2 linked regions of the Oryzias latipes genome follow. Each later gene encodes a partner of the first gene's protein in a complex. Links are inferred from orthologs where the notes say so. Each region holds a gene or a part of one and is shown on either strand. Other genes may lie near its edges. The genes, in order: dld and dbt.

Evidence for each region.
Region 2: the proteins of dld (region 1) and dbt are in contact, whole or in part, in a crystal structure (PDB 3RNM), measured with the Homo sapiens proteins. The link is inferred for Oryzias latipes from reciprocal best matches to the Homo sapiens genes DLD and DBT. Residues at the interface, in NP_000099.2 of Homo sapiens: Ser446, Thr447, Asp448, Arg449, Glu472, Tyr473, Gly474, Ser476, Glu478, Asp479, Arg482; in NP_001909.4 of Homo sapiens: Thr174, Pro175, Ala176, Lys196, Arg199, Leu201, Lys202, Glu203, Leu206.

Annotation. Positions count from the first base shown.
Region 1 is NC_019864.2:5,935,013-5,939,411, forward strand, and holds the start of dld (dihydrolipoyl dehydrogenase, mitochondrial), read right to left. Parts: upstream 2,961-4,399; 5' UTR 2,872-2,960; coding exon 2,833-2,871; intron 1,350-2,832; coding exon 1,277-1,349; intron 896-1,276; coding exon 816-895; intron 677-815; coding exon 608-676; intron 1-607. UniProt on the Homo sapiens protein: Lipoamide dehydrogenase is a component of the glycine cleavage system as well as an E3 component of three alpha-ketoacid dehydrogenase complexes (pyruvate-, alpha-ketoglutarate-, and branched-chain amino acid-dehydrogenase complex).
Region 2 is NC_019862.2:5,905,274-5,909,617, reverse strand, and holds the start of dbt (lipoamide acyltransferase component of branched-chain alpha-keto acid dehydrogenase complex, mitochondrial), read left to right. Parts: upstream 1-1,414; 5' UTR 1,415-1,500; coding exon 1,501-1,545; intron 1,546-3,879; coding exon 3,880-4,012; intron 4,013-4,137; coding exon 4,138-4,213; intron 4,214-4,331; coding exon 4,332-4,344. UniProt on the Homo sapiens protein: The branched-chain alpha-keto dehydrogenase complex catalyzes the overall conversion of alpha-keto acids to acyl-CoA and CO(2).

The sequences.
Region 1 (4,399 bases):
CTGCCACCTGGACGGGGATTCAACGCTAGGCTCTTGCCTGAGGGAATCCTGGTTAGTTTCATTTCCTCCGCCTAGTAATCTGCTTCAATTCAGCGGGTCAGAGGTCAAACACTTACAAACACTAAGGTCATCCTCCAAACAACAACAAAACAGATAGATGGTCCTGCCAGAAAACGTGGATTTAGTGCCAAGTCTAATGCTACCATTAACTTTCAACAGGTTTACGTGTTGACATCATCATCATCACTACAAGATCAGCCTGAACGTTCACTATTCTGAGAGTAGACTTTCTCAGATCTTCCTAAAATGTTTGCTAGAAGTTCTCCTTTATTAGCTGAAAGCTTTAATTTCCTGGTGAAAGTCACATTCTAGTTTTTCCAAGTCTGTTTGTGCGATTGTAGCCCAGCAGAGTTGAGAGTTTGCCCTTTCCAATATGGCGTCCAACTTTGCATATGTACCTCGCAGCGCGGCGTCTCTGGAATATATATCTCATTGTGTCATACTATGAGACTTGGTATCCAGTAACACAATACGCTCCTGGGATGTTACAACCCCTCTAAGAAATTCAGTTCCATGTTGATCCAGTCTAAATGAATCTGGTTGTTACCTTTGAGGGGATGCAGCCGACGTTAAGACACGTCCCACCCAGAGTGGCATTTTTCTCAACACAGACTGTCTGCAGAAAGAAAAAGCAAACATCTACATTTGTCTGACAAACTGTGACGTCACTTTAGTTTTGCTGCCATCAAATCCTAATTAGAGAATATTTAAATCCCATTGGGGATGAACTTGAACACTGAAGAAGGTGGGCTTACCTTGAAACCAAGTTGTGCAGCTTTAATTGCAGCAACATAACCGCCTGGACCTGAGCCCACCACTGTGACATCTGCATCAACTGCAGGAGAGAAACACAGCTGCTTACATTACAAACAACCATGAGAGCAGTACTTTTCTACAGGGAGCGAAGTGCTGGCTATAGTAGCACAGTATGCAACAATAAGTGAAGTAAAAGACCTTTTGGAGGGAAAAAAAACTTCCCTTTAATTGCAAAGCTGTAAAAAAAAGACAACTGAGTGAGCTGTCGGTCTGCAATTTCCACATCGATTCCGGGAATAGTTTTTGCTATTTACTTATGAAAGCCCCTGGTTTCAGCAGGAGTGCTTCCCTGAATCTTCACTTCTACAGTCTTCTTAGTTTAGATTGAACTTAACCTGGACAAAAAAGAAAATATTTTCAACCATCTTAATGAAACAAAAAGACGAAGGTGGTTTCTTACTTGCGGCTTTGTCGCTGTAGGCTCTGACAGACACGGCAGCTCCATGGAGTTTGCAGGGAAGATGGTGGCCCCTCTGCACAGTAGATCACATGCACACAGCTGCTGAACACCCAAACTTGGTGCCACAGCAAAAGCTCTAGTCTAAGACAGTTCTCACAATGCAGGTGAGTTACACCAAACTACGGTGGCCCTGAAGTGCAAATCACATCAACAAATCACTCGACACAAAAACATTTGAAAAAATTACGACGACAATTAAAAAAATGATAATTTTAAAACAACTTCAGAAACCAAAAAGGAAAAAACAAAAAATGAAAAAACATTTTGGAAAACAAAATGAAATGTTGGAAAAACGAAAACAATGAGAAACCGGAAAAGGTAGGTACTGAGGGACATTGCTGATTGGACGAGGACGTTTGTACATTTCAACTGTAGTTATTTGGCTTGGACACTGAACATCATCAGGTTGTCCCTCCCTCCCTTTTCTGGTTTCTCATTGTTTTCGTTTTTCATCTTGTTTCCCAATTTTTTTGTAACATTCCATTTTGTTTTCTGGAAATTAATTTTGTTCTCTGAACTGTTTTCTCATTTTTGTTTTTTACATTTTGTTTTGTTTTCTAAAATATAATGCTGGCTTTTAACATGTATTTAGTTTTTTTTATTTGCCGTTGTGATCTTTGACATGTGTTTGAATCAAGTGATTTGTTGAATGATTTGAACTTAAGGGCCACCATACCCAACAGATAGAAACACAAACAGCTGATCAATTTTACATAGCTTTTTGGTTATTTTTTTGGTCTATTGTCATGTTCACCAGCATTGCCACTTTGAGTGCACACACTGTTTAGATGCATAAAACAATAGGCACGAGATTTTGGAATAGTTTACATCACGACAAGAAAGGACAAACGTTTGAGAAACGTGCTGACATGTGAACCTGTCCAGATATTGACCTAAGGGAGAGGACTAAAGAGGCCATAGAGGATGTCTGCGGACATCAAGGAAAACGAGTTAGGGAATAAGGGGTAGGGATTTGATCAACACTTTCAACTCTCGCGAGAGATGTAAATTAAAATGACAGCGCGGTTGTTATTCAATATTAACATTATTAATTATTAACAACGAAGTTTCACTTAGAATATTTGTCGCCTTTGATTTGTCTAGAAGGACCTTTCAAATATACATATTTATATACAAATGTAACAAAGTTTTCGTCCTTATAAAGGTTTTTCAGGTCCTAGTATATAAGATGCAGACATAAGACGCCTAGAATTTTCAAGTAAAGGCTTAACATGAAGCCGTATTTAGTCTTATATACACCAACAGTATCCAGAAAATATCAGAATGTGTGCTTTTATTTTTGATTGTTTTTATCAGAATCCGTGTCGGTACAAATGACCACAGCGGAACTGTTAGAAAACAGCTAGCTGTAGCTTAGCTTCCATGGGCCGCTGGTTGAATAAGACCACAACAGACGCGTTATGTAGAGTCCCAGCCGAGATGAAATCTGTATAAGAAAAGCCGGCTTCTACTATAAAAAAATTAAAGTTCCTTACTGAAGCCAAACAGCGATAAAGCTGGGTCACGCTCTGCATTTTGGCTATGCCCCTCACAGGATGACTCTTCTTCAGGACTGCGACCAGCCAAGGACTCCGATGTTAGCGCATGCGCAGTCCCAGCCTTGGTGCTCCGTCCCCTGTTGAAAAACGACAGAAAAGCCCATTACTGCCCCCTACTGGTACGGAGCGTCAGCAGTTGGTTCGGGGATTTTTTTATTTTATTTTATTTTATTTTATTGAACATTTGCAGGATACAATACAAATATAAAATATTTATAACAATACAATATATGAATAAAACACAGCTCTGAATACAAAAAACATTGTTTTGGCCTTTTGAAAATCATAACTATTAAGAACAAAATTATAAGTAGTAGTAGTAGGTGTAGGGGCTGTCATCTGGATTTAGTATTTTTTGAGAGTCTTCATAGACAAAATTATAAGTAAAAATATTTTTTTAAACAAGCGGCTTTTAAATAATAACCAAGGAAAATAGAAGGAAATAAATAACTAAAATTAAAAAAAATGGAAAATAGAGAGAAGAAAGAAGAAGAAAGAAATGCGAGATTTAACTTATGTCACTACTCCAAAAGATTTACAGATATTTTTTGAGCCTTTGAATCTTTTGAAGCAGATATTAACTATAGGTAAAGACCAGACTTTTTTCTTTCAATGTTAGATATAAAATTAGCCCAATAAAAAGTAACTGATGGAACAGAAACCAGATGATCTTGGAACAAAGCTCGGAATTTTGAGTTCAACTGTTTTAGTGGAGGTGAAGCAGAAAATACCCAGGGGAGATTTGAACACATCAGAAGGATGAAGAGTCAAACGAGGAGCGCTGCAGAAACCCCTGAATAACACGCAAAGTCCAGACGGTACGGCATCAAACACTACTGCCAATTTCCGGAGATAGTGAGTGTCTCCATAAAAAGTTGTAAAATATTTTATTAATTCCAATACAGACTGCTTTAGTAACCTGTAAAGATTGAGCATAGGTCAAACGAGAGAGCCATTTGATCACTCTGCTCTTCAGAAATAGATCTTTTTGCAGCCATTAGTTAAGGGTTTTTTGGGTTTTATCTGTTAAAGGAGAGAAATCTTTAGAAGTTCTGGATTGCATATCTTTAGTCATTTGAATACCAAGGCATGTTACAGAAGTTTTCACAGGAAAACCTTGAATGGAAGTTAACAAATAGTTTTTAACAAGCAGAATTACACATTTGTTTAAATTAAGAGTAACTCCAGAAGCTTTAGAAAAGGATTGGATAATGTCGATTGCCACAGCTATTTGTGAAGTGTCCCGAAGTATTTTTTCAATAAGAAAAGTTCAACTCAATGCTTTGTTATATACCCTTTGTTGCCAATGACAGCAGTCAAATGCTTTCTGTAAGTTTTCACAAACTCCTTTTCATCCATTCATTCATTTTCTATTCAGTTTTTCCCTTTTGGGGTCAGGGGGATGCCGGAGCCTATCCTGGCCACTTGTGGACGAAGGCAGGGGACACCCTGGGCAGGTCACCAGTCTGTCGCAGGGTAGAATGTCCACAATCACACATCCATT
Region 2 (4,344 bases), on another chromosome or scaffold:
CGCAGGCAAACAGAGTCTGAAACAGGGTCAGGAGACAGAAGATCCCGTCCAGATTTAACTCTCGGTAATGAGAGTTAAATGGCAATAACAATACATTGCATTGAGTGAGGCTCAGTGCAGTGCCTCAGTATGCTGTGGTTGATGAATGAATGAGAGTCAGGTGTACTAAGAACTGTGGAGATGGTTCCCCGCTGGTAACCAGAGGGGGAGACAAATCTCTGACTTCTGACACATTCATGTCAAGATCAATATTGAAATTTGAATATGATGTAATCGATTTCATAAAGTGAAAATCTCCTTGACATGAGCATTTTGCTGAGTTCTTAAGTTATTTTTTCCTCAGACACAGTTTGTGTTTGTCAACATACCTTACATGTTTCGGCGGAGTCACTTCCGCCTTCGTCAGAACCGATTTGTTCCGTCAAAACATTAAAGGTATGTTGACAAACACAAACCGTGTCTGAGGAAAAAATAACTTAAGAACTTAGTTAACTTTGTAGACACAATAAACTTTACTGAATTATGAGCGTTTTGCCATTACTATTATGTGTGAACTGTGTTCTGAAACGTTTTATGTTTTTTTTAATATATTTTTTTGTCAAAAATTGGTCCAACGCAATGCATTGTCGAAGTGTCCTTGGGCAAGACACTGAACCCCACCTTGCCTCTGGTGGTAGGCGGGCGCCTGTGTTTGGCAGCGGAGCTGCCACCAGTGTGTGAATGTGTGAGTGAATGTGTGTGTGACTGGGTGAATGGGTCTGTGACTGTAAAGCGCTTTGTCCTTGTAGGAAGAAAGGCGCTATATAAGTATACGCCATACGCTATTTACCATTGTGGTCTATATTTGCCAATCTAGTTAGCATCGATGCACACTGGTTTTTCGCAGAGACTTCTGGCAAATTTCTAGGGCACTAGGTTTTGGAATTGTAGATTCGGACAGCACTACAAAATGGCGAACGCACAATTTAGAGCACAATGTAGTGAGTAGTGAAGGAACTCAGACATAACCTTGGTGTTCATGTTTGGAAGCCATATTTTTTTTTTTTTTTACTGTGTTGGGGTGTGGGGCTTGTACTTTACTAATTCTGGTACTGGGGAGTTATAATAATTACCTCCCTTTTTGATTGTAATTTTGTTTGCCCTGCTTTGATTTGTGGTTAATCATGTATTTATGTAAGTGTTTTACATTTTCAAACATATTTTTATTATCTTTTTGGCTTCAATATTGTTTTGGTTAAGCTACTGCGTGTTGGCTGGCCAAAGAGAGGGAATTTATGGAATTTAGTAAACATCGTATTGGCGTTTTGATTCATTTCAGTGTGGCTCCTAACGCAAGAACTTTTCGTTGTGGTTCTTATCAGCGTTTCACTTTATGTTGTTCCCCCCTTAGCCATCGGGGGCGCTCCTACCCCATCCTGCCTAAAAATGGTGGAACGTGAGGAGAAGAAGAAAGGCTGCACGGTGATTGGCTGCTCGTAGGGGCGTGCACACGCAGCAAAGATGGCAGCGGTGACCCGGGGCTCCTATATTTTCGTCTCGCGTTTGGTGAGGAGAACTTCATTTCGGTGCGCGCGCTTGCTTCTTGCACCCCTTTAAACTGCGGTACCTGCAGGCTAATTGCTAACTGTCCGCGCGGGTCAGAATCTGAATTTGTCCAGGCTAATGGTCTGTTAAGGGCCAGTTTCGGCTATCAGGTGATTCTGACCCGGTCCAAGTCACAAGCCCGTGGTGCGTCATTATGCGAGGTAGCTTTAGAGCAGACCTTTTTTGTAAAACCAGGTGGAACCAGATCTTAATTCGTGTTTGGGTCTGCCAAAGGTGCACGGAGCATGCGCAGTAATCACCTGCGGAGCTCAGCTCAAGTAATACTTGCTTTATGCCAAGTTTGTGTTAAATCTCTAAAAGACAATAAAAGTCCTGGAATGAGGGATTGACACGTGCATTTTATAAAATCTTTATAGAAAAAACAACTCCTTTTTGAAGTAATTTTAAGAGGCTTCGGAAATCAGTATATTATCCCACACTCTTGATAAGGTGTCATAAAACTTGTCCCTAAACCAGTAAAAGATAGATCATTATGTATAGAGAACTGCAGACCAATAAGTCTGTTAAACAATGAATGATTCCAAAATATTTGCACTTATATTTGCTAAAAGATTGTAACCTGGTCACTGACGATAAAGCCCGGTAGGGGTGAGTTATACTGAGGATTTGGGCATCAATCCGGTACCAAATGATTACAGGGCTACTATCGCACATGTTGATACCAAAACTGATACTTTTTCTTGAAATGATGTATAGAATAATTTAGAAAATACATTTTTTTGTTAATTAAGTGTATAATTAAACACAATAAAGAGACTTCCGGCAAATAAAAATGTTCAATAACTAATTACAACAATCTGAACTGAACATACATGAAAAATAGAACATTTATATTAATGTCATATACAATAATAAGAATAAGAATAAGAAAACTAACTAGTTCAAAATAAAGGAAAACAGAATGTAACAAAACAACATCATAAACCTACATTAAAAAATAATGCTATTAATAAAATCGGACAAAACTCTGATTTTATCTGAAGGAAAATGACTCACTACTTTAGAAATAATATTTTGTGTAACATCAAAAAGCTTGGAGGAACTAACTTTTGAAACTTTAAATAACTCCTTTAAAGTAAAATGATTGAATAACCCTTTGAAAGGAGAAAATAATATTTGGAACACTTTTCCTAACTATATTTTCAACATGATGGGAGGACTCTGTGATTATAAAATTGAAAAATTACCAACTAAACTTTCTAATTTCTATAAACAAACTCTGCTTGCCTGGAAATTCATTTATAAACATAATTTTTCTCCAAAGGCCAGTTTTGTTTGGAATAACCAAGATTTTCAATATAAGTAAAATCCCCCTTTCCCCAGATGGTATTAGAACAATTTACTTTGGATGAGACGACTTTTCAATTCTTGTGAATATTTATTATCATGAAGAATTTCTTTTAAAATTTGGCTTCCCAGTTTCACCTAAATTATATACAACAGTATTTGATGCAACACCAACCAAACTATTAATAATCCATTCATCAGATTTACTATCTTTTTGGATGAGGTGGATATTTGTATTGGATCAGTTTCCAACAAATAAGAAATCTTTAACATCTGGAACCACACCTGCAAGTAGATTTTACCGAAACTCCAAAGTTATGGATATAAAGTGGAATAAATTCTGGCTCATTGGTAACAAATACAGTTAAATAACAAAATAAAAGAAATATCCTTTAAATCACTACATTGCATATATTCTGTTAAACATTTTTTTGGTATATTTATTCTGGATATGAACCAGTTGTGTACATTTTGTGGATCACGAGAGAAAAAAATTGTCATTTGTTTGTAAAATGTAGAAACACAAAAATGTTCTGGATCCATGTTGGCAACTCCGTTAGTCGCAAAACTGGAAAAACATTCAAGCTTTTAGAAAAGGACATCATTTTTGGACTGTTATTATGACATCCTGGACCTGCACTTTAATTTTTAAACACAACAGATTTTGTTTTGGGAGCAATTTCAAATTTATATAAGGAAATTGTTAAACTTCAAACTTAATTTTGAGCACTTTTTGCATGAATTAATGCAATATGGTAATATTGTCAAACGAATAAAAAAAAGGCAATTTTAAGAAATGTAATTTTTGCAAAGGTACCGTTTTTTTTTCCATATTGTTACTTATTTTTGATAATGTGATGGTTCTGTACCATGGCTGGATATCAGGTCTGTATGCATTGATACATATTTTTTCTCCCTCCCCCTTGGCATTCACACTTTTGTTGTACCTGTTGTTTATAAATAAAGTTTTCTGCTCTGTGCCCCCAGCTAAGTCGGCACCTCTGCCGTTGGACCGTTCGGCAGCAGACCCTCCGGTGTGGCAGAGCTTTACAGCCACTCACCGTTAAATGCAGCAGAGAGTCGCAGGTATTCTCTCTCCGTGGGCTACACGCTGCCTCAGGTGAGCCCAAGACCTGCAGCTGTCACCCGTCTATCATGTAGTAGATGGAGTTACCATGGCAACCCACAGCCTCCATGTTAAACCTTGATTAAGAAGTCACTGATGATGTCACTGTGCTCTTGTAGCATGTTGTGGGCCCGTCGTCCAGTTCAAACTCTCTGACATTGGAGAAGGCATCATGGAAGTGACAGTGAAGGAGTGGTATGTGAACAGCAGGCCGGCTGTGATTGGCCGAGTTTCGTCCTTCAGGAGGGTTTCAGACCTGAATGGTACTGGTTCTGTCGGACTGTTCTGACGCCGCCTTTTTTGCCCGCTGCAGGTACGTAAAGGAG